Linked DNA regions of Oryctolagus cuniculus. The protein of the gene in region 1 purifies or fractionates together with the protein of each later gene. This does not show direct contact. Links are inferred from orthologs where the notes say so. Each region holds a gene or a part of one and is shown in the gene's direction. Other genes may lie near its edges.

The links. Proteins that work in one complex are often made in the same cells at the same time.
Region 2: the proteins of CAMKV (region 1) and NAF1 purify together in Homo sapiens (affinity purification with mass spectrometry; 3 studies listed by BioGRID and IntAct, with this or other methods). This does not show direct contact. The link is inferred for Oryctolagus cuniculus from reciprocal best matches to the Homo sapiens genes CAMKV and NAF1.

The regions. Positions count from the first base shown.
Region 1 is NC_091441.1:99,398,252-99,401,264, forward strand, and holds part of CAMKV (caM kinase-like vesicle-associated protein), read left to right. Parts: intron 1-992; 5' UTR 993-1,006; coding exon 1,007-1,101; intron 1,102-1,208; coding exon 1,209-1,340; intron 1,341-1,492; coding exon 1,493-1,567; intron 1,568-1,750; coding exon 1,751-1,889; intron 1,890-2,026; coding exon 2,027-2,147; intron 2,148-2,284; coding exon 2,285-2,360; intron 2,361-2,444; coding exon 2,445-2,581; intron 2,582-2,742; coding exon 2,743-2,821; intron 2,822-3,013. UniProt on the Homo sapiens protein: Does not appear to have detectable kinase activity.
Region 2 is NC_091439.1:133,990,905-133,994,556, forward strand, and holds part of NAF1 (H/ACA ribonucleoprotein complex non-core subunit NAF1), read left to right. Parts: intron 1-2,843; coding exon 2,844-3,289; 3' UTR 3,290-3,652. UniProt on the Homo sapiens protein: RNA-binding protein required for the maturation of box H/ACA snoRNPs complex and ribosome biogenesis.

The DNA.
Region 1 (3,013 bases):
TTGGGCCCCTGCTACCCATGTGGAAGACCCAGATGGAGTTTCACCTGGCCCAGCCCTAACTGTTATAGCGATTTGGGGAGTGAACCAGTAGATAGAAGATCTCTCTCTCTATCTGTAACTCTGCCTTTCAAATAAATAAGTAAGTAAGTAAGTATTTATTTAAAAAAGACTTAATATGCCATTGGGTCTAGCAGTAGCTCTTTCATTTCCATTGCTATGCCATTATGTGAGTATGCCACAATACACCCTGCTAGTAGATACAAGCATACTTTCTAAAGATCATGGAAAGTACAATTAAATGATAAACTTTTTTTTGGTACAAAGCTTTTCAAATCTGTTCCTAGTTTTTCATAATATACATTTTCCATTACCTGTTTGAAAATCCCCTGTATTTGACCTCTGTCCGATTTGGCAGTTATGAATGTAGCCACTATGAGCCATCTTGTACGAGTGTCCTGGTGCACACATGTCTGCCTGTCTGTGGCGCATCTGTGAAGGGGGGTGATGGCTGGGTCCTGGGGTGTGTTTGACATCTGTGGTTTTACCACACTGCTTCCCGATGGGGAGACTGGTCCTCTCCCAGCAGGGCTCATGCTCTCCACATCTTCACCAATGCTTGGGATCTCCAGACCTTCAGAAGTGAGTATCTGGTGGGTTGGCCATTATAGCCCTCTTCATCTGTGAAGCAGCTAAAATTTAGAGAAAGTCTTGGAGTCTTTTGAGTGTCAATAATGGCAAAACTATCCTCTAATACGACAGTTTAACACATTTTTCATAAATGGGGGCTATTGTAGTTCAGGAAGTCAAACTGGGTGTCTGGACTTATGACCCAAAAAGCAGAGGTAGGAACTGAGTCTGCCTGCTCTCGAGCCGCTCCTCGTGCTGATCTGCCCCTGTGTGGCCTGCGCCAGGCTGGGATTTCTCAAAGCAGCCACCATGTGGTGGGAGGAAGTGGGAGTGGCACAGCTGAACCGGACCCCTCCTGCCCACAGCTTATTGCCTGGCAATGCCGTTTGGGTGTGTGACTCTGGGTGACAAGAAGAACTATAACCAGCCATCGGAGGTAACCGACAGATATGACTTGGGACAAGTCATCAAGACGTGAGTGCTTCAGGCCTGTTGGGCAAGGGCGGGCAAGGACTGAGGAAGGGGGACTGGGGTGCAGCCCGTGCTCAGCCAGGGCTGAGGGGATCGCCTGTTGGCTGCAGCGAGGAATTCTGTGAGATCTTCCGGGCCAAGGACAAGACGACGGGCAAGCTGCACACATGCAAGAAGTTCCAGAAGCGGGATGGCCGCAAGGTGCGGAAGGCAGCCAAGAACGAGATAGGCATCCTGAAGATGTGAGTGTAAGGCCTGGGGAAAGGGTGGGCTGGCAGGGAGCAGGCAGCTGGCCTCGGGATTGGCCCGCCTCTGGCCGGTTAGTCTGCTGGAGCTGCTGCAGTGACCAGGGGCTTACCCAGCCCTGACTGCTGGCTCCTTTTCCTGCTGCCAGGGTGAAGCATCCCAACATCTTGCAGCTGGTGGATGTGTTTGTGACCCGCAAGGAATACTTCATCTTCCTGGAGCTGTGAGTGCGGGCCTGGGGTCAGAGAGGATTCCCCAGTCCCCGGGGTCTTCCCTCGTCCTGCCTTCTGCAGCTAAGGAAAGCCCCCTTTTCTGAACCCTTGGGGACCCAAATGCAGCCCACCCAAGTGCTCCTGCCCCACCCCCGGTCCTGCCCACGCCGGGCTCAGGGGCTGGTGTCCCTCAGGGCCACGGGGAGGGAGGTGTTTGACTGGATCCTGGACCAGGGCTACTACTCGGAACGAGACACGAGCAACGTGGTGCGGCAGGTCCTGGAGGCTGTGGCCTACTTGCACTCACTCAAGATTGTGCACAGGAACCTCAAGGTGAGGCCAGGGCCAGAGTCAAAGGGAGCTGGGCTGGGTTGGGCTGGGCTGGGTAGCACTTCGGGGTCTTGGTCCAGCCCCTTACGTCTACTCGTGTCTGCTTCTGGCCACCCACATGCCATTCCTGGCCGGGGCAGCTGGAGAACCTGGTTTACTACAACCGGCTGAAGAACTCCAAGATTGTCATCAGCGACTTCCACCTGGCTAAGCTAGAGAATGGCCTCATCAAGGAGCCTTGTGGGACCCCCGAGTATCTGGGCAAGCACATGGTGGGGCAGGGGCGGGATGGGGGCAGCCTTTCTGGGTGGGGGAAAGGGAGTCCCCATTCGAGGAAGTGGGTGTGGATGGCACTGGGCCTAGTCAGACCTGATACTAAACAGTAGCATTGTTTGTAGCCCCGGAGGTGGTAGGTCGGCAGCGGTATGGACGCCCTGTGGACTGCTGGGCCATTGGAGTCATCATGTACATCCTGTGAGTAGACTAGCAAAGCAGCCTTGCGGCCAAGTGGAGTGGGGCCTGTGTCTGTGCTGTCCTGGGTGACCCTGCCCCACGCAGGCTTTCAGGCAACCCGCCCTTCTATGAGGAGGTAGAGGAAGACGACTACGAGAATCATGATAAGAATCTCTTCCGCAAGATCCTGGCTGGTGACTATGAGTTTGACTCTCCATACTGGGATGATATTTCGCAGGCAGGTGAGGAGGTGCCCAAGCACGTGAGTGCAGAGCGGTGGGGAGGGGGCCTCTGCTCCCAGCTTCTTCAGCTGGATTCTGCTCCTGCCTCGCTGCCCGTTCACCACCTGTAGACAGTGACATTGGGGCACCCATGCCTTCCCCCTCCCTGGCTTTGTCCGCAGCCAAAGACCTTGTCACAAGGCTGATGGAGGTAGAGCAAGACCAGCGGATCACTGCGGAAGAGGCCATCTCCCATGAGTGGTGAGCAGGGCCCAGGGGAATGGAGAGGCCAGGGCTCTCTTGATTCCAGCCCCCCACCCCACCCCAACCCACACCTAGTAGCCCCATCCTTGAGGCCCTGAGTGGTGACGGCAACCAGAGCTCAGCTAGCCCAAAGGTTCTGAATGGCTCTCCCGGGATCCCGGGGGAAGGGCTGGGCAGGTCTCCCCAGAG
Region 2 (3,652 bases), on another chromosome or scaffold:
AAGCTTCATAGTCTTCTGCTAAATCCATGATTCATTTTGAATTAAATTTTGAATAGAATGTGAAGCTTAGATCAGTGTTCATTCTTTTACTATGCATACCTATTTATTCTTGCACCATTTGCAAAAAAAAGAAGTATAGTTCTTCCAATGAAATACTTTTGAACCCTTGTCAGAAGTCACTTGACTGTATTTCACTGTATTTACGTTGGTATATTCTGTGTCAGTGATAGTGTTTCATTGACTTATTTGTCTACGCAATGTTTTTTTAAGATTGATTTATTTTATTTGAAAGAGAGATGGAGACACACACACACACACACACACACACACACATTCTATCCGCTGATTCACTCCCCAGATGGTCATGTCAGCCTTGGCTGGACCAGGCTGAAGCCAGGAGTTTCATCCAGGCCTTTCACATGGGTGCAGGGGGCCAGGGACTTGGACCATCCTTCCCAAAGCTCATTATCAGGGAGCTGGATTGCAAGTGGAGCAGCTGGGACTTGAACCGTTACCCATATGAGATGTGGCCCTGCAGATTGCATCACAGTGCCCGCCCCCTGGCAGCAGTGGACAAGAGATCACAGTGCTTCATATCCTCACCACTGTTTGTGCTACCACTGTTGTGAATTTTGGTCATTCCAGTATGTGTGTAGTGATGTCGTTGTGTGCATTTCCCTAATGACATACAATACAGATCTTCCTCTTATGTTCTTATTTTCCATCTTTGGTACGTATCTTTGCCTGTTTTGTGCAACAGTTCTTTGTTAGATAGTTCTTTTGTTAATTTTTCTGAGAAGCAGGAGGAAAAAGGGAGAGAGAAAGGGAGAGAGTGCTCCCATCTGCTGATTTACTCCAGATAACCTTCCTCAGCCGGGAGACTCGAGCAGGGAGCTGGGAACCCCGTTCAGGTCTCCATGTCGGGGGCAGGAACCCCGTTACTTGACCACCACCACTGCCTCAGGCGTCTTCCGTGGCAGGAAGCTGAAATCAAGTCGAGCCAGAAATCAGACCCAAGTGCTCCAGTGTGGGGTGCATTTGTGCTGACTAGTAGTTAACTGCTAGGCCAACTACTGCCCTTCTCCTCGTTTGTGGCTTTTCTTCTTTTCATTTTGTATGTCCCAGAGCAGAAGTTTTTAATTTCAATGAAATACAGCTTTTCAGTTTTTTTTCACTATTGTCAATGCCCTGTCTAAAATCTCATACTCACTCCAAGTTTCATCTAAATTTTCTCTTATGTTACCTTACAAGAGCTTTATAATTTTACATTTTGAATTTAGGTTTGTGATCCATTTTGAGTTAAGAGGGTAAGGCCTGTGTCTATATTCACTTTTTTTTTTAAAGATGAGTTGTTTGTATGAATTTATTACTGGACTCTGTTCTGTCCTGTTGGTCTTTTACCAGCTGATTATTGTAGTTGTGTAGGTGAATCTTGACGTTTGATAGTGTTGATCTTTTAGTTTTGTTGTTCTCCTTTAGGATTATTGAGTTTTTAAATATCAATTAAAATTTTCAGTTCGGGGGACTGGTGCCGTGGCTCACTTGGTTAATCTCCGCCTGCGGCCCCAGCATCCCATATGGGCACTGGGTTCTAGTCCCGGTTGCTCCTCTTCCAGCCCAGCTCTCTGCTGTGGCCCAGGAAGGCAGTGGAGGATGGCCCAGGTCTTTGGGCCCCTGCACCTGCATGGGAGACCAGGAGGAAGCACCTGGCTCCTGGCGTTGGATCGGCACAGCGTGCCGGCCGTGGCGGCCATTTGGGGGATGAACCAGCCAAAGGAAGACCTTTCTCCCTCCCTCCCTCCCTCCCTCCCTCCCTCCCTCCCTCTCTCTCTCTCTCTCTCTCTCGCTGTCTTAACTCTGCCTGTCAAATAAAAAAAAATTTCAGTTCAGTGATTCTTATTCTTTTTTAAAAAAATCTTCTTTTTTTCTGAGACTTTTTAAAGTATGTTCATCATTTCTTGATGCAGCATTTTATGGCTTTTAATATCTTTCTCAATTCTAATGTCTTTGCTTTGTCTGTCTTTTTTCATTGAGTTTGAAACCTTCCTGCTCCTTTTTATGATATATTGGGTGTTGAGACTTTGGGTCTTACGTGAATCATCTGTTTTGGCTGGGTTTGTTTGTTTTCTTTTTCTTAAACACCATCTTGTAGGGAAACGGAAAGGAACAGATTGAAGTCCAGCTTTTCCTCTTAGCCTCTGTTGGAAACACAGCCAAGGAGCTTTGTCACTGCTGGGCAAGGATAGAAGACTGAGGTCTTAGGCTGTGCCTGATAGTGGGGGTAGGAACACCCCTTCTCTGCCCGTACTCCCTCATGGTGTTCACTGACCCTGATGCAGGACAGCCTCACGACCACTAGGTGAGGATGAAGTCCTAACTGGACTTGGTCTGTGCTGCCGCCGCTCTAGTGCCAGAGGGGAGCAGACTGTGTTGTTGGTGGGGCGGATGTTTAGGACCCCCCGGCAGATCTCCACTGTCATTTTGGGGAGGCATTGATGCTGTTCCTTGTGTGGTCTGCTCTTGACATTAGCTGGCGGGACGGTTGGGGCAGCCCATTACAGTCTGTGAAGGAGGAGGCCGAGACTCCCCGCCCACCTTTCTGATTGTGGGTGGGGGTGGTGCCATGGTTTTTCTTGTTTTCTGTGGTTTTATCTGTCCTGATCCTTTGGCTTTAAGTTTTGCTTTTTTAATTCCCTTAAAATTGACAGTTTTAAAACTTAGTATTTTAACCGCCGTAAGATATACTGATAATTAAAGAAAAGAAATTATTGAAATTTCATACAGTATTTTTTAATATGTTGAATGTGCTTCATTGTATTTTCATGTCTTTTTCCCTCTAATAGGTGATGATTTTGCTGAAGTGCATCAGAATTGGAATGCTTACAGCTCGGCCTCAGAGCACGCGAAAGGATTTCGCAACAGAGAATTCACGCGAGGATTCGCCAGGGGCCGATATCCCCGACCTTGCCACGGCAGGCCGCCACCTCAGCAGTTTTACAACTCAGAACAGGAGACTTCAGGATATCCAGCTCAGAGGCAGGAGAATCCCATGCTTCCACAGTACCCCTTTCCTCCTCCAGTGTTTGACATGCATAATTTTTCACTTCCCCCACCACCGCCGCCGCCGCCGCCCCCATCTGTAAACATGGGCTGGGCTGCACCTAACGTGGCCCCTCATCCAATGCTCAACATACCCTACTCCCTGCCCCCGCCCCCTCCCCCGCCCCCGCTGCCGCCTCCACCGTCATCTGCGGATAGCAGTGCTCCTCATTTCGGATCTTACTATTAAAATTGTATGCATTTGCAGAGAAATGTGGACTTTGATAGTATATGGTAGGATATTTTATTTTTTAAGAAAAGAAAGTGATTATGGAGCTAGATTTTTAGAAAAACTGTAAAATACTGAATAATTCCTTCAGTTGTAGGTTGGTATATATTTATAACCTTTGTGAAATTGTATTCATCTGAAAATTTCTGCCCAAATTCTTGGAAAAATCCAATAATATAGTATTCCATTAAAACCTTTGAGCTATGTCTTCCTCCACCCTGCCCAACAGTATATATAGAACAGGTTGAGCACCTCTAAGCTGAAAATCCAGAGTGCTCTCAGATCTGAAACTTTAAGCATTGACAGGAAGCTGCAAATGGAAAA